Arabidopsis thaliana: one gene and its partners. The protein of the gene in region 2 interacts with the protein of the main gene of each other region in a pairwise test. Each region holds a gene or a part of one and is shown on either strand. Other genes may lie near its edges.

The links.
Region 1: the proteins of CNGC17 (region 2) and AT3G16800 interact in a protein complementation assay, tested with the Arabidopsis thaliana proteins (one large-scale study listed by BioGRID).
Region 3: the proteins of CNGC17 (region 2) and ANNAT1 interact in a protein complementation assay, tested with the Arabidopsis thaliana proteins (one large-scale study listed by BioGRID).
Region 4: the proteins of CNGC17 (region 2) and AT1G78860 interact in a protein complementation assay, tested with the Arabidopsis thaliana proteins (one large-scale study listed by BioGRID).

Annotation. Positions count from the first base shown.
Region 1 is NC_003074.8:5,719,228-5,723,689, reverse strand, and holds AT3G16800 (Protein phosphatase 2C family protein), read right to left. Parts: upstream 2,750-4,462; 5' UTR 2,536-2,749; intron 2,466-2,535; exon of another isoform or gene 2,417-2,465; 5' UTR 2,397-2,416; coding exon 2,148-2,396; exon of another isoform or gene 1,949-2,147; coding exon 1,661-1,948; intron 1,479-1,660; coding exon 1,358-1,478; coding exon of another isoform or gene 1,302-1,357; exon of another isoform or gene 1,261-1,301; coding exon 1,037-1,260; intron 941-1,036; coding exon 767-940; 3' UTR 505-766; downstream 1-504. Other genes in the region: PUM24 (pumilio 24), read left to right, coding at 1-10, 128-254.
Region 2 is NC_003075.7:14,854,194-14,859,779, forward strand, and holds CNGC17 (cyclic nucleotide-gated channel 17), read right to left. Parts: upstream 3,827-5,586; 5' UTR 3,587-3,826; coding exon 3,558-3,586; intron 3,347-3,557; coding exon 2,590-3,346; intron 2,506-2,589; coding exon 2,207-2,505; intron 2,103-2,206; coding exon 1,991-2,102; intron 1,908-1,990; coding exon 1,671-1,907; intron 1,596-1,670; coding exon 867-1,595; 3' UTR 501-866; downstream 1-500. Other genes in the region: AT4G30370 (RING/U-box superfamily protein), read right to left, coding at 4,550-5,080. UniProt on the Arabidopsis thaliana protein: Probable cyclic nucleotide-gated ion channel. Forms a functional cation-translocating unit with AHAs that is activated by PSKR1/BAK1 and possibly other BAK1/RLK complexes. Required for PSK-induced protoplast expansion.
Region 3 is NC_003070.9:13,223,297-13,227,750, reverse strand, and holds ANNAT1 (annexin 1), read right to left. Parts: upstream 2,584-4,454; 5' UTR 2,448-2,583; coding exon 2,372-2,447; intron 1,776-2,371; coding exon 1,630-1,775; intron 1,544-1,629; coding exon 812-1,543; 3' UTR 512-811; downstream 1-511. Other genes in the region: PUM9 (pumilio 9), read left to right, coding at 1-249, 323-427; AT1G35710 (kinase family with leucine-rich repeat domain-containing protein), read right to left, coding at 3,365-3,651, 3,736-4,454.
Region 4 is NC_003070.9:29,645,459-29,649,232, forward strand, and holds AT1G78860 (D-mannose binding lectin protein with Apple-like carbohydrate-binding domain-containing protein), read right to left. Parts: upstream 2,234-3,774; 5' UTR 2,042-2,233; coding exon 710-2,041; 3' UTR 545-709; downstream 1-544.

The DNA of each region.
Region 1 (4,462 bases), on a different chromosome or scaffold from region 2:
AAGGACACTGGTTAGTTAGTCTAATGAGTCCTCTCATACATCCATTTATCTGCAAACAAGCAGGTGTTTTTCGTCAAGCCTTGAAATCTTGTTCTGCTGCGTTAATTTTTTTTTTTTTTTTTGGCAGTTCAAAGATACTATCTGCTTTCGTAGAGACTGAAGATGTTCAAGTTCGTGAGATGGCTAAAACAGAGCTTCAGGTGTTGGTGAATGAAGGTACTCTGAAGATCTCAGCAACCAAGAAACCTGAATGATGCAACGGCCTCACTTGGCTTTCAGAATTGCGAATATTATGGCAAATTTTGTCCTTTTGTCACTATAAAGGGTAGAAGCAAATCCTCTTTATGACAAAACTGAAAACTAATCCTTGTCACAAAACTCATCAATGTTGGATATTATATATGAAATAGTTTTTTCTTTTAAAATTGTTTATTCAAGTCTTGAGTTATGATTTTGATTGGATTTATTCAGGACCAGCATATAGTTTAGTTTTTAGAATTGAGATTTTAGAAATTTGTCTTCTATAGAAATCATAATCAAGATCAAGGTCCAAACTTTGATCAATATATGAACCATTACATGTCGTACTTACAAACAAAACCATTATAAAACTCTTTACTCACCTATCTCTCCATTCTCAATCACTCCTCACAACATCTATTATTCTATGTAAAAATGTATATGTATCACATTTTTGTTGTTCAATGACGCCCAAAATACATTGATAAATGTATATAAGTAATAGAGAGGTTAAAGAAGAGTTAAACTAAGAAGGACGAAAGAAGAGACAGAGAACAGAAATATCATCCATGGCGATGCTTCTTCTCTTCCTACGCCAAAGCGTCACAGCTCTCTCTACCAATCTCTTTGCGCTCTTTCTTCTCTCTTTAACTCCTCTTACTATCTCCACTGCCTCATTATTCGTCATCACATCCCACATCTACATATACATACATACATCATTAGTTCATTACACAATTATATGATTTATCAATCTTGATTTTGATTTAAATGCTGAGTAAGTTTGATATATCACCCCATCGGTGGCCAAGATTAGAAACTGGTCCTTGTCGGTTATCTTTCGGTATGTTACTTCCGGTTCAGAGACTAAACCGAAGTCTTTAAGGCAGTAATCTCCAAACGCTCTTGAAACAGCTAAACCGAGTGATCCTCCATTAGGCATACCCACCCGGTACACTCCCGGTTCATCGTCTAGGCAGAACAATCGTCCATCCGATTGTTTTATCCGTTCTGCTTCCTCTGTTTTAACCGGAAATTATCACATACCAATTGTTAATTCGTCATTTCATCTGAGTAAAAGTAACTGTAAAATATGGAAAGGCTTCTAGAACTCTACCGGGAATGTTTGGTTTAAAGTCTACCGAGAGCTGAACCGGGACTAAACCGTTTCCATCATCAGAAGTTGTTGCTATTACTGCTCGTGAGTCACCCGCATTTGCTATAACGAGATGATCACCCTTAAAAAGACAAAATCAAACTTTATCATTTAGCATCTTTCAAATGAAACATTATAAATACTCACAAAATATTATCTATACACCATAAAATGAAAAGTTATAATATGGTTACAAGAACTTATGTATTTTTGTTTTTTGCTAAAGGTGTTCAGTACTATTATGAACATATGTATGTATGTTACCTGCAAAACAGCGGTGAGAGCGGTGCAGCCGCTACAGTAAGAATCAATGGAAGGACTGATCTTGAGATCAAGATCGATGATGGAGAATGTTTTCAGGCAAGCTTGCTTCCAAAGATCAAACGGAGAGGAACATTCCGGCGAGGATGATAAGGAGGCAAGAGTTTGTTGCCATTGGCAAAGCAGAGAAGATGGAAATGATTTTTTTACTCTTTTGGCTATCACATGTCCCCATGGTCCATGTCCATCAAACATCCCACAAAATGTTATGTCTTCTTGGCACCCAAATCCCTATATATTATGTAATATAAATACATAAAAACAGTTTAAATTTCACAACAAATCTTATAAACACAATTAATTAGTAACTACATGCATGTGATGATTCCATTTCTAACATATAAGTTCGTCAATAATTTGTAGATATCATAATACGTTTCATGGAAAGACGAATTACCTAACATATAGCTAGTATTTATATAAAGTGTACCTCCCAAACAATTGCACGATCTTGGTTGATTCCTTTCTCACCTCTATTAGAACAAATAGAGGTAAACCTCTTAGAACTTTCGGAGCTAACAAAGCCTGAAGTACCGAGCAACGTCGAGTTCTTCTTCGAATCTTTAATCATCGATTTTGCGATCTCTCTCCCTCCATCTTCATCTTCCGATAGTTTTTTACCTTTCTTCGTCGATACAGTTCTCGCTAATCCGTCCAAAAACGCTGGTAAAAGCACCATTCTTTGATTCTCTTATGATCCTACAATATATTTACGAACTTCATTTATAAGTTATAACTACTGTAAAAAGATATCCAAAAAGCAAATGAAAAGCAGAACAAAAAGAAAAAAGAGAATCAGAAGTTTAATAGGAATTTACTTTTTCTTCTCTGATATGAATATTCTTGATCGGAGTTTCTCTGTTGAATATATTTTCCTTTTGGTGGATTTACTACTTATAAGCTGGTGAATTGTCTCTATGACTCATCATCATCTTTCGCTTTCTCTCCTTCGACTATTCTAAGCCTTTTATTTTAATACATATATACACGTACAAATGCACATATACATTCTTTTTGCATGTCGACAAGGACACGTATATATGTTATGAATAAAGTTGACGAATTTTTTTATTTAAGAAGTTATAGTTGAATACTTGAATGTTATAATTAACAAAAGGGTTTATATATTTTTTTAGTCTAAGGAAATGTATACGTATTCTCCATTGGTAAATAAGATTCAATTAAAGAAGGCAACATATCCTTGAAGCTGCAGATTAAAACGTGTGTATGTTTGTGGGTATGATTAGAAGTGTATATGTTGGAAAAATGGGTATTACTGGAGTGTTTGGCGAGTGAAGATGTTATTTCAACGCAATCATAAAACGCGCAAGAAAATGAAGAATTATTTATGTTTGGGGTCAAATAACACAAACAAAAAAAAGCGTTACAACAACCACAATGAATAACCAATCAAAGTTTTCTTTTTCTTGCCATGACAAATAATAAAGCTTAAGACCGACAAATGAATAAACTATAGCTAGTTAATACCTCATTAGGATAGAGATGTATATAGTTTAATATAAGAAAATGTCTAGATCAAATTTAAATGTGGATGTGGAAGAAAGTTAATAAATTAACGAAAGTGGTGTAAATATAAAAGGATATCATGTGGGGTTTGTTAAACAATAAGGACTAGTCCAAAAAAAGGTGTGGCTGTGAGAGGCTCTCGAATCTAAAAGCTAATGGTAAGTGCCTTTGATCCGAAACAACTCTCATCTTTATAATTATTATTTTTGTTACACCTTGTCAAATGATAAGTTCCTATCATTTTAAATGTAATAATATAAAACCCGACATAGTTACGATATATATGCATACTCACAAAAAACTAATTAATATAAATTGTAGAAACGTTGTATACTTTGTATAAACGAGTTTTGAGGTCGTAATCTAGATCTACCATGAAATTTGTTGACATACCGTTTTTATGCTGCGACTACTAATAACCTAAAAATAGCTAAACAATTATAAGCAAGCCATGCACCATAATAAGATTTTTAACGTTGTTTTTATATCGTTTAGCCGTTTAGGGGTCATATAAGATAAGTATATATTTCCCTTAACAAAGAATGAAAAAGAGAAAAAAATATCAATACATACATATACAAGAAAGACATTGGCTCGTATGCAAATTTTACGTGTGTATAAGGTATTTACGTGTAAGGTTGTTTTTTTTAATTGTCTTTAACCATACATATGTGCCTAAGATATGGATGTCCCTAGTGCATATGTTAGATTTTATACATGTCCACTATAGATTTCTTAGGTAATCCATAGATATCAGTGCTTACGACTCTTAAGTTTGATTAATTATTAGTTAAGATGGCGGTCTAGCTTGGGTGGGTGGTAGAAATAAGATAGTGAAATAAAAGATAAAAAATAGAAATAGATAATATTAATTAATTTTCACTAGATGGAATATGCTAAATGCATGGTCGCAAATGTAACTAGCAAACCAAATCTATTTCTTACTTGGGAAACTATGAAATAAGATCATGTAAACATGTACCCGAACCAAGTTACAAAACTCTGTCCGTTTTGCTTTCTTTGATTTTAATCTTTTTCTGAAAAAGATTAATGTTGAAATTTGTTAAATAGAACTCCTAACTAAACTGATTTTTCTCTTGCTTTTGGTTTCATTACTTTCAGAACCGAACAAAAAGTTAACTTTTCGTATATTGCATGTGTGGATTAATATTTGATCACCAAATCCTCCACATGCTATGTATTACTTTTCATTTAAGT
Region 2 (5,586 bases):
TCAAAATATTAATATATGTTACTATAATTATGATTGTTGAAAACCATTGTTTTCATGATTCAGTTTCCGTTCAATCTAACTTCTTGTGCCATACTATATTGTTATTGTCATTCAAGACCATAAAATTTATTTGTATATTATATGGGACAAGAAATTTTCAGAAACTTTTCAATATGTTAGTTTAAAATATTTACAACTTTTTAAATCGACTAAGAATCCATGATTACATTGAGCTGGTCTTGTGGCCATATTGCAAAAAGAAAAATCCCAAATATGTATGTAATCCTGTAATGTAGATTATGATTTGATCCGACATATCTAGGTCAGTAGAGAAAGCAAGTAAACATTTTAACTTTTTCCCATGGACCAAAGTCCAAACTCATCATTAGTATGATCTTATGTCTATTGATTAAGTGAGTCTACCTTTCTTTAAAAAGAAGCTTGTGTCGATAGCAATATGCAACATGCTCAAGAAAATATATTTTTTCTTTCTTTACCATCTTATTCTCAACGTTACAGTAAGTCAGTAACCACGGCATATAGGGGCTTTGACGAATGGGCTTAGACATCTTTTTACTTCCTTGTTGGTTCAATCAATTTTGCAAGGTTTGATGTGATTTGTACATAATCCACTTCAACTTCCTCATCTTTACATTTAGAGAATTTAGAAACGAGTTCTTTAATAGTACAACAAAACTAATTCTCCAAGCTTATATTACAAAAGATGTTTAAGTGTACAAACCAAAACCCGCCTTGAGTTTCTTTCTTTATGTCTCCCAAAGGAACAGGAAACTTACTCTGTAGTGTTCTTGTCATTAAGATCTTCTATGGAACAAAGTCAGCTTCTTCTCCTGGTTATACATCAGTCAATCATCATGCTCAGCAGAGAAATCAGGCTCCTCGGGTTTCTTAAACCGGGGTAATTCTACATCCTTAACTCTCTGAGCTGCAACACCGCGTCTTGTATTAGCTGCAAAACGCGATGCCAAAACCATAACTCCAAGGTTCATCTTTGTTCTAGGACTCTCCTCAACACACTCTTCTTCTTCTACTACTACTAATTCTTCTCCTACTTCTCCTTCTTCATTTTCCATTGATTCAATCGCAGTGAGGTTATTCTCCATAACTCTTCTCTTGTACCTGCGCCAAGCCGCTTGTATGAAGCAAGCAGCCCAAGTTCTCCAATGGTGAGAGTAGAATCTGAATGTATGTTGAAGCTTCTTGCTGTGTAACCGCCTAAACTGATTTGCAACAAATTTCAAATCTTCAGCTCGAAGAGCGAATGCTTCGACTTCAACTAAAGCCCTAACTGTTCTTGTAGAAGATGGTAAATTCAAGGTTGATTTTGGAAGCAAAGCCCAAGAAAGAAGCTCTTCCCCACAGAAATCTCCAGGTCTAAGTATAATCGAGTTGAAGAAACCGGTTCTGCCTCCATTGGTTGTGGAACTCTCGAGTCTACCTCTGATGATGAAGAGCATCTCTGAGATCAAGTCACCTTCACGTACAAGGTAAGTCCCTTCAGTACACAGAGAAGAAACCAGGCGCTCACATATCGCATCAAGCAGCTGATCATCCATTTGAGAGAAAAATGGGACCTGCATGATTCAAGATAGTAGTTAACCTAAAAGTTGAACCATTTGTAGGATAAACAAATCAATAGAAAAACTTACTCTTCGAACAAGATCTAAACATAGGTGACGTTGAATATCACGGCGAAGATCAGTGGGTAAACTTTGCAGGAGAACCTCTTCATCGACTCCTCTTGTTGCAAGCCACTTATACTGCTCATATCGCCTCACACGGTTTCTCAACTCTTCAGGAAGTTGACGATGTCTCATCCACTCCTCAGTGTCTCTCTTCTTCAATCTCCATTCCTCAAGCCGTACAGTCAAAGATTGCAGATATGTCTAACAAACAAAAGGCAAAACCCAAGAAACATAAGAACAAAAGCAGATACTTTTAGAACTTATCCTAACGCAGGAATCCATACCTGCATATTCCCAATGAGATGGGCAAAGAGGACAAGACCAAAGATTGCAATGAGAACAGCAAATGTGGTTTCGCCCATGAACATGGTCGTGGACAAATTCTGTCCATAAGAACTAGAATATGACAATAACAGGAAAATGTCATCAGATTCTAAAACTTGTAATCAAAAGGAGAGTAATAATTGGTATCAAAAAATTTCTATGATCTCTGCCATTACCTAAGCTGCTGCAATCCCCACCACAAACAGTAGAAATATCTCTCGAAGAACTGTGAAGACACAACGTTTTTCGTGATTGCATTCCCAAAGATCCCATACTTGAACTCGCCATTCCGTGCATCACAGAGTTTAAACACTTTTGTGACATTTGCCCAAGTCATCTGATTATTGTCATACATTGAATCACAGTCTAAGTAATATAGCTGACAATTAACTTGGCCAGCTTCACCATTGCATCTTGATTTCCAGCACGATGTATATCTATCAACCGATAATATATACCAGGCTGCACCAAGCACCTGTCCCAACAAAAACATTGTAGCTTTGATTATCATCACATTTAAGGAATGAAATAATGGAAGAAGAAGGAATGGGATTCATACATGACTAGCCAGCATGTATAGCAAAAGATTATAAGCAGCTCCAGCCCAAGCAGTCTTTGTAACAACTCCAGTTGCTTTAACAATTTGAGAACTTAACGGAATTATCAAATAGAATCTTGGGATGTATTGGAGGAGCACAATCAAAGCAATAGCATTGTTGTTATGATCAAACCGGTAACTTTTTGTAGTCGATATAACAAACCAGATAACTATCTGTGGAAGTGGTAACGTCGCAATGAGATCGATGATGAAGTCAGATTTAATATACCTCCAAGCAATAGCCTTAGGATCCATCACAAGCTCACCTCTACCAAACACTCTAGTACTTGAATTAGGCGCAATGAAACCAGTCCTAAACTTAATGAAAATGTGCAGCAAGTAGAAAAGATCCGCTATTGTCCTGAAGAAAGTAACAAGGATGCTTAAACTTGTATCAGTCCTTGCACAAGGATAGTTTTTATCTCCTCCTATAGCTGGGACAAAGAAGTACAACGGGTCGATGAAGAGAGCAACCATACATGAGACAATGAAGACCCAATTCCATTTCAAGACAATCTCACTTCCTGGATCAAGAATAGTCTTGTACCATGAGACTTTAGAAGATTTGGACTTAGAAGCATCAGTGTATCTAAGTCTATTTCCAGGTAAGAGATTATCAGGTCTTAGTGCTGAAGGTAAAGAGAGCTTATAAGATTTGCTCATTGGATCATTCACTGCCCATTTAGCTTCTTTGCTTTCTTTCCCCTCTGAGTAAAACCTACAAAGCAATACACAACTCAAATCTGTAATCTGAAACCTAACTAGAGATTTAAGTTAAACCCAGTACCCAAAATCGGAGCTTGAGCTTGTAACATCTAAAGAAGAGATAAATCTAAAGCAAAGTCTAGAATTTTTAATTTCTGGGCAATCAAAGTTGAAGACTTTCAGGAACGTAAGTCTAACCGACGGATGAGAGAAAGAAAACTTACATAAGAAGCTTGTCCTTCCTTAACTCCATTAGAAGAAGCTCAAGCTCAAGCTCGAGTAAACAAATCTATGCAAATTAGAATTAACAGAAGCTTTTAAAAATCATTTCTTTGATTCGTGTCTCTGACACTCTCTCACTCTTACTCTCTCTAAATCTGAGAAAGATCGTGTTTTTGTTTAGTTCTTCCGGAGAGGATTGGAAGAGGAGAATCACTGAGTCACGGGACGAGTCAGAAATCGGAGGGATATTTGTTTTTTTTTCTTGGGAATACTTGAGCCATCGGTATAAGACAAGAAAGTCAACACATTTGACTAAAGTGACATTATTTCGTTAATCAAAGTCATTATTAGTTTACAATACAAAACACTAATTAGACAATGTTACTTGTTACTTCACAAAAACACTTCTTTAGTCTTATAGTCAGATCCAATCACAATCACTTTCTCCGTGTGAGTCACAATCTCACATTCCAATCAGAAAACGATTCTTTAGCCTCCTTTATTTTTATGTTCAATATAAACTTTTGAATCACACACTTGAAAACATAGTTGACATAACTTTGGAGGTGAAGTAGGTAAATTAAAATCACATGAACCAAGCTTTACTTAGAACTTATACTTCATCATGGACAAATTGAAACAGAAACATTGATGATTAACCACTGAATCTCAAGTGAAATTATGAGAAATCATTAAGGTAACATAAGCAACATGTTTAAAGTGACAAATGGACAACATTTCTATCAGTAATTGACTAGATTGAATTTAATAATTGGCATGATAATCAAACCTCAAACTAAGTTAAATTCTACAGAAACCCATCATTCTCTTATTGGATCAAATTCATCAAACGGTGAAGAAACAAGCTTTCAATTGTGAAGCCGTGTAAAAAAAAAAAAAAGACACTGTACATGACTATTGATGAAAACCAAAATTGCTGCTAAATATGATAACAAACTAAACACACTTTCAAATCTAATTATAAAACCACCGATCAAAAAATTTCACCTTGTGGTCTCCATCTTCTTCCTTCTTCAAATCTATAAACCCTATCCCTACAAATCGGACAAGTCGAGACTTTAATCAACCACAAGTCCACACACTTTCGGTGAAACACATGTCCACATCGAGGCAGCTTCCGACACCACTGTCCTTGTCTAAATCCATCGATACAAACAACACAATCATCGCCTCCGTACTCTGAACTAGGCTCACAATACTTGAATTGAGGAAGCCTCTTCACGCATCTTGGAGATAACCCATCTGAGTATTCGTGACGGCGATGGCGGCGGAGACGGTGGCGATAGTTTCGTTGAAGAAACCAGTAGAAAGCGAAGAAGAAGGTGAAACCGAGAGACGTGAGGATAAAGATAAAAGCGGTTATAGCTACAGGGATCATGATTAGACCTATGAGGAAGTTAGAGAGAATCTTCGTCGGTAGATTCTTCGTGTTCGCTTTTGGCGGCGGTGGAGACGGTGATGGCTCGCGGGAGATTGAGCCATCGTAGGGAATCGTTATCGACATCGACTTGCGGCGGAGATTAAAAATATTCTCTTTTACGAATCAAACTCTAATACTCTGTTTTAGGGCTAAATAAAGGAGAGATTTTTATGGATTTTGAAGATCGAAAATTTATCGGATTCAAAGTATATTGTACAAAAGAGTTTGTCTGATAGATATTTATATGCGGGAATATTCGGACATCTTTTTTATATCAGTTTTTGACGATAACTTTTTAACTAGTTTTGGCCCTTATGAGAGGAACTCGTGAGCAAAGTCTTTTTTTTTATATACCAAATTTTTCATTAAATTGATTAAATTTAACTAGAAAGAAGAAGATTAAGCGTATATAAACACAAATACACAGACACGTTTTAAAACAATGGGGTTCTGATAAATTATGTTACTAAATTTTGATCATACAGAATGTAGTTTGGCGTTACAAGAAAACTAGAGGAGAAAACAAAGGGCGAAACCAGACTTCATTTAAGGATAAAGTATTGGTGATGAGATTATATAAAATAGGGTTC
Region 3 (4,454 bases), on a different chromosome or scaffold from region 2:
AACTATGTGGTGCAGTACTTAATAGATCAACAAGTTTCTGCAGTGAAGTTGCTGGTTCAGTTTAGAATGCACTACGCCGAGTTAGCTACTCAGAAGTTTAGTAGCCACGTGATTGAGAAGTGTCTAAGGAAGTATCCAGAGAGTCGAGCTGAGATCGTCCGTGAGCTCCTCTGTGTTCCAAACTTTGAATATCTTCTGCAAGATCCTTATGCGAACTATGTGATCCAAACTGCTCTCTCTGTAACCAAAGTAAGTCCAAATCAATACATATGTTATAAGCTTTTAGAAACAGAACTTGACATGGCTTTTGGGGTTGATGCAGGGACCTGTTCGTGCTAAATTGGTGGCGAAGGTTTACAGGTACGGGAAACTACACTCGAGCCCTTACTGCAAGAAGATTTTCTCCAAGACCATCTTGAAGAAGTGACTTTGATTAGTAACTAAAAAATGTTGTTGTTGTTATTTTGTGTTTCAAGATCGGATAGGGCTTTAGAGAAAACAATGCCCTTAACTTTTTTGTTGTTGGTCTCCCTTTTTGTAGTGACAACAACTTTTGTCAAAACCAGAACTACTTGTTAGTCTGTGTTTTAGGCCAATGCTCTTCATATATATATAACTTAAGAGACCACACTGGTTCTCTCTGTCTCTCTCTTTTGCATTATTTAGGAACTCAAAACACACAACAGAAACAAACAAGGTTTTTGTAGAAACAAAATCAAACGATTTGAAACTCATCAAAGAGAGAGAGAGGGAGATAAGAGATAACAGAAGCTGTAGAGCAGCTTATGTTTCTCTGTGGAGGATTGATTGATTAAGCATCATCTTCACCGAGAAGTGCGACGAGCATCTTCTCGTAATCTCCACGAGTGTCTTTGGTAATAGCTTTCTCCAAAGGAATGCTGTTCCTGCGCTGGTACTCCTCTCCAATGACCTTCAAGTCAATCTCAGCTCTTGTGGTCACAATTCTAGTGAGTGCTCCTTCATCAGTTCCAGTTTTGTTGATTGCTGAACGAAGAACATCGACAAAGTAAAGCTCTGGTCTTGTCAAGCACTGAATGGTTGACCTCAAAAGTGCAAGGAACTTGTCATCATCATCTCCTTCCTCAAGACTCTTGAGAATTTCCTCGCCATGATCATCTTGGTAACGGTTAAAAGTAGCATTGATCTGAGCTTTGCTTCTTGTGGACAAGATTCTAATAACATCCTCATCATTGTAGTGCTTGTCCTTGATTTTCTCATGGACCAGCTTAGCTTCTTGCTTAGCCAATGTCATGTTCACTTCATCTCCTTCGTACCTGTATGAGGTAACAAGAGAAACCAAAAGCTTTCTGAAGTCACCGGTAGTGTGGTGAGCAACGTCCTCTTCAAGAGACTTCTTGTAGCGAGCATGGTAAGCTTGCCTAGCGTGAAGCAGCTGCGTTGATGTCCTTGTGCAAGCAACTTCCATAAGAACTTGGTTGCTTGAAGTCCATCTTTTTGTAGCTTCATTAGCCAATAAAGCATCACGCTCACCGGGTTCAAGAGTCCACAACAAGATAGCTCTCTGTCCATGACCAAAAAACCAATTAGAATACAATGACTTCACACAAGATGTTTAAAAGTCGATACTTAAAAGTCCGAAAACCGAACCTCGAAATCGTTAGAGAGCTCCTTGTCAAGAGTCTTGAGAAGGTCTTCGCCGTAGGTTTCGTGGTATGCTTGCCTGATGACTTTCCTCTGTTCAGCACTTCTGTGAGCCAAGATTGATATGATCAAGTCCTCGTTCGTACCCCATCCTGCGAAAAACACGAATCAGATTCACTTTACATAACCATCAAAGTCACATACTTCAGATCCAAGTCACACACACTTCAGATCCATAATAACAGAACCGGTCAAACAGATTCACAAAATATAAATCTTAAGATCTTAGTGTTGTATTACACGTAACTACATTATAGATCTAGACTAAGAAGACAGATCTGTGACAGTGAGAATCAAAACACAACTCAATCAAGATCTCGTGTGAATGTAATCATTGTCATTATCAACATGATCAGACAATCAAAACTTCATCACTAACACAAAAGATTGTTATAGATCACACAAAGAAAGGAGATCATTGTCACTGATCCGATCCATGAAGGAACAATCTCGATCTACATCATCGTACAAATGATCATAAAACGCTACCGACACAACATTCATATCATCGGACCAAAACAAAGATCGATCCACATGAAAAACAATCAAAACAAATGATCATACAATAACCCACCAAACGAAAACCAACAGATTCACATCACTTTTACAAAAAGTGGATACTGATCATGTAAACAAGAAGGTAACAAAAACAGAGAACGTAACAAGAAGAATCATGAAACTATTATACCTTCAAAAGCGGTTCTCAATTGCTCAGCATCATCAGAAGGAGCAGGAACAGAATCAGAAACCTTAAGAGTCGCCATTTTTCTTCTACTTTTAGTGTTTTGTGTATGTTGGGAGTCGAAGCCGACACAAGATTGACTTATAAAGGGAAAGGCTAAGAGGTTTAGGACACGACGTGGCCTGTCCGTATATACCAAAAATATCCCAAACGAATTATTAATTCTTCTGCCACGTGTTTCTTACACTTTATGAATTATTTAGCATTTGCTTAACTTTATGCACAAATCATGATTTCATAAAAAACTATCGTAATCTCGCATTAACGGTTTCATTGGTTGTCACAAAATCATCCGCAAGATTATAAGTGTTTAGATTTCGTTATTATAATCCATTTTGTATTATTTTAACACGTTACAGAGTACAAGAGTGTAAGATTTTTTTATTATCACTTGCAAACGTGATGTCCATTAGAACTCATTATACAAAAAAAAACTTATTTCTTTCTTTACAAATCTCCTACTATGCATTTTTTTTTTTAATCTCCTACTATGCATAAGAAATCTCTTACTAATTCTGGCGATATACAGATAGACAGTATCCAAAACTTTATTTGAATGTTCATATGTGAGGAGTAACACAATGACCATTATCTAAAAATGCTTTTAACAGTTTTTTTTTTTTTTTTTTTTTTTTCATTTTTTTAACTTCATAGATTTCCATTAACCAAACACATTACAAGACCAAAAGGCCTAACATGGCACGCAAGCCGCAAAGATAAAAACAAACAAGGCCCAAAGACCAACAAGGGCGCAGCCCAATACATACAAAAGCTGAAGCAGGCCGAGAAGCCCAAACAACAACAACAAAAGCTGAAACGAGAGTCGACACCCCTTCCTGCAAACACAAGCAAGAACAGAGAACAAAAGCCAACAGAGATTACTGTTGCTGTATAGATAAACACAATGATAACATAGAAATTGATGGAGAAGTTCAGTTTCTAAGAAAATGTAGTGGAGATTGACAACATCGTTGGCCGAGATTCTGGATTTGCTTGTAAACACAATAAAGCCATTTCCACCATCTTCAAGAGCTTCTCTCTATTTTGTCCCCGTGGTTCTAATACACGTTCATCGGAAATGCTTCTTAGCGACAGAGCTTCTCCTGGAGACGAAGACAAACTCGATACCAAATCTCCCGGATGTTTCCCAATTATCAATTCGAGTATCAAAACCCCGAAGCTATACACATCGCATTTCTCCGTCACCTTCATCGTGTAAGCAAACTCTGTTGCGAAAAATCAAGTTCAATTTCGAATTTAGTGATTTAAATTTCATAAGCTCAAAATCAGATTTAGGGATTTAGATTTACCTGGTGCAACGTAGCCGTAGGTTCCAGCAACGGCGGACCAGTTTGATGAATCCGTCTTTAGAAGTTTTGCTGTACCAAAATCGGAGATCTTAGCTGTGTAATCGTTATCGAGAAGGATGTTTCCGCTGCTAATATCACGGTGAACGATCGGTGTTATTCGGTCATGGTGCATATACGATAAAGCGTGAGCCACACCTTTCACGACGTTGATCCTTTTGGTCCAAGTGAGTCGCTTAGCTTCTTCGTCGTTGGCTAAGAGTTTGTTTAAACTTCCTTTTTCCATGTACTCGTAGATCAGAAATGTGTGGCGGCGGTGGGAGCAGAAGCCGAAGAGCTTCACAACGTTGCGGTGACGGATCTCTGTTAATGCTTTTACCTCGTTTAGGAACTCTTGCTTCACAACTGGCTTTGATATCTCTTCGTCTATTGTGTCATGTAGTCGTTTAACGGCTATGATTGTATCTTGGAGGTTTGCTCTGTAGACTTTGCTGTATCCTCCGGTTCCGATGAGGTGTGTTGGATCGAATTCGTTTGTTGATTCGATGATATCTTGGTATTTGAATTTGCCATCAACGCTGAATATGGACATATTCTCTCCTGTTTCAGGATCTGTGTTTCTTCCATTTTGTAGTTTTCGTTTCCGAATGCAGTAGGTGAATGTGTTTGCACATATAGAGAGAATGACGAGTACTCCTAGGATTGGCACTAATATCCACACA
Region 4 (3,774 bases), on a different chromosome or scaffold from region 2:
GGCATCTTTCAAGTTGACTTTTAAAAATCAAAGCTAACAACGAAAACGATGTAAAGTTATTAGTCTGCATGATTTAAGACATTATGTACATGTATAATAAATATATAAGAGCGTTGACTGGTCAAAAAAAAACGAGACAGATGACCATCTCTGTTAAGGTGACGCGGCGTCGAAGCGCCGTAGCACGCATCTTATTCGTATCATATTTATACCGCTTCTTTAATAATCCAAATTAAAAGTTTGAATCTTTCAATGGCTTGTCATGAGAAGCAAAGTGTTGTGTGCACGTTCTACTGCATTGCATCAGTGTCTAATAAAAATATAAAACATTTTTTCACAACGGAAAGTTAAGGTTTTTCTTGAAACATTACCTTCAAAATATGGTCTCAAGCTAAAAAAAAAAGAAAAACAGAAAACATGAAAGCTTAAACTCATTCATGATTCAATTTCTCAATTCAATCCTTAAGTATATCATATTTTGTGATGATACTAAATTAATGAATAATTTTATTTTTTTTGGTAAAATAATGAGAATAATTGAATTTAGCTGATGCGTTTCACTTCAATTTATTACGGTGTAGCTTGAGAATCAACATGCAATCATAAAACAAGATAAACCAATAGCAACACTTTTTCAGAAAAGAGAAAACAAAGGACAACGTAGCCTTATTATTCGTCAAAACGACACACAAAAACCTTTGTTTACGCTTCAAATGGCAAGAGCTGACTTCTTGCTAGCATTCGGAGCCTTGACATAAGCAACTAGGGAAGTATCTCCGGTTTTAGTCAATGTCTTGAGCTCATAACCCAACCAACACCTCGAACTCTTCCTATTGTAGAAAAACCCTAAACACTTACAATCTCTCGTACATTTGTCCCCACACGCACTCTCCGTTGTCGTTGATCCACCGTTATACTTCGTCATAAAACTATCAGCTCCTTCGATCTTGAAATAGTGAAATGTCTTGGGATCGCAACTAGCGAGACTCGGAATCTTGCAAGTCTCATCCCAACCAAGAAGCCCTATGTCGCTAGGACAAGCGTTACACTGACCTTTCTTACACAAACCAAACCCCAAACAATGCTCAGGGATCCTACACTCATCGTTACCGTCAGTGTTGTCGTTAGTAAACGCCGTGTACGTTACGTCCCAAGCCGTGGAAGTCGCCAACGTACTGTAACTCCAAACTCTGATGTTTCCGTCTGACTCTAACCGAAGAAAACTCAACGTCGCATTGTGTTTAGGCCGCGAGAGGAACGTCGAGACGTTGAATTGAGAACCAGAGTCGACACCTTCCATGTGTAGACCCCACGTGGTGTCGGCATCCTCCACAGCTTGGAACGTCATAGACTGTAACTGAGCTATCTTGGTGAAGAATTCGTATTCGTAGTAACCGATTGGTTTTGGAGTTTTGTTTGTCGTGTAGTACAAGACTAGCTTCTTGGCTTCCATCACGAGACTGTACGGTCCGTTTGCGTTGACCGATGGAGAAAGTCTGCTTACGAGCTTGTTTTGACCGTTGAGTTTCAAAGACTGTCCAACGAGAAGCGTGTCGGTCGGAGAGTCAAAGCTTTGCCATACGAATTTTCCATTTGAATCATATATTACCATATTGCCATTCTCCAAAATTTTGATCCCCACGACGCCTTTGTTAGCCGTGTTCGTTTGCCAGACCACGCGGCCATCGGCTTCAGCAAGTACAAGGTTTCCATCTTCGCCGAAAGTCAACGTGGCGTTTTCTTTGACTGGTGAGCCTCTGTTTGCTTCCCAGACCCATCTTAGAGTGGATTCTTGGGCTCTGTTTCCGATTCTAAGAGCGAGAGTGTATGCGTTTTGGGTTGTGTTGTAGAAACAGAGACGGAAGTTGTCGCTGAAGGGGACGAAGCCACGTACGTCGGGGTTGTATTCGATGGGACTGTAATCGGTGTAGCCTCCTTCGTTGACCACTCGAAATTGGTCGTCGACGGGAACTTTGGCTTGTGCTCCGACCAAGAATATGGAGAGAGTGAAGAACAGAGCTAATGTGGTTGAGAATTCCATTTTTTGTTATGTGTTTTTTTGATGAATGTTGGTGTGTTTTAGTATACTGAGTGAGCTTCTTTTTATAGGATGCAATGATATGCTTTTGAAACCTCGTCACTTTAGCAGGTGTATATTAATTTATCAATGCTATTCGGTGTAAAGTGAAGTGAAACAAACTTGTATAATAATTTGAAACAACTTGTATGATAATCTATCGATTCTTAACAGGTATAAAGTGATAATTTTCATTTTAGTCAATATTAATTATACTTGTTTTGTACAAAGTAACATGTTTCTTGTATAAAGCGAGTCAATATTAATTATACTTGTTTTGTCAGTTTTCAACTATAGTTTTTTATTTATTTCTGTAGCACCACAGCAACATTAGTTGGAATTGGAATTTTGAAAGGGTACGTGAGCACTTTGATATAATGTGGACCAATTTTTAATTACGAGCCACCGGAATTATGCTATTGGTCGTCCCGTTGGATTTTTGTTTTAATTGTTTATTCGACGCATGTGATGTGAGCATAGAGATAGCCTATTTGATATAATATTTTAAGTACATTATTTCATATACCGTTTCATTGATTTTTTTGAAATTACTCTGAACCAATCTGTTTGCCTTATATCAATCCATTTTCGGAAAATCGCCACTCCTTCCAAACTGAGGACCATACAACGTTATACCAACGGATCCGATAAGCTGCGTTATCTACACTTGGTTATTTTAAAATTAATTAACGTTTTAATGAGTTTGCGAAATATGGATGCGAAACAGATCCTCATTTTCATTTTCTTCAGTTGCTATGTTCCAATTTTTAGTTTTCTGAGTTTGATCACCAATTTTTTTGAGAAGTTGTTAAAGTATTTGTTTCCTTTTATGATTAATCTCAATCCACCTTTTTTTTGTCTTTGATATATTAGATCACTGTTAAAGGTGTGCGACCTGCAACAGAGTGGTCTTTTCCCGATCAAGTTAACATTTAATAACAACGTACAAAATGTATGACATAAAAAAGTGTTTTGACTAACGACTAACAGCGATACGACTAACAGTGGTTCAACTTGTGCTTGGCTTCGACTAACAGACGCTTCGACGAAATGTGAAGTAAAAACAATAATTGTTCAAGTAATATTCATACTTCGCCTAAAACGGTTTTTATATAAGCTTTTTTTAAATAAAGTGTGATTTTTGCACTTGCCTTTAAATGCGGAATTGCGGAAGTGTTTTCAAGTGTTACGAATAACTATGTTTTGACTAAAATGTTAGGAGTAATTTGCCTGACTAGTTTAGGAGTACGTGTTCGTGATTTAATATTGTGTTCAACAGTATAACTAATGTACTTCACTAAGTATGCTTTGTTTAGAAGTATGCTTGGAAATATATGTTTCGACTTTTAAGTAAATTGATCTAGTGTTTTACGTGTGTTCGGATTTAGATATAAGTTTTTTGAGTAAGTGCTTCGACTAAATTTTGGCTAAAGGGATTTTGTTGAATTAATTAAGTGTTAATGTAATTTTAAAGACGTAAGAAAATACACATTTATTAGTCGTGTGTGTATCTTGTTAAATGTGTTTTTTTTTGGTTGAATGGTTCAGTGCTACGACTTTGACTATTTTTTGTTGAAAATAATTTGGTGTTTACTAAGTATGTTTCAACTATTTTAATTTTTTAGTTGTGAGTTTTAATTAAAAGTTCCGCATCATATCTTTTTTTAAGAAAATATTTTTTAGTTACTGAGTGTTTT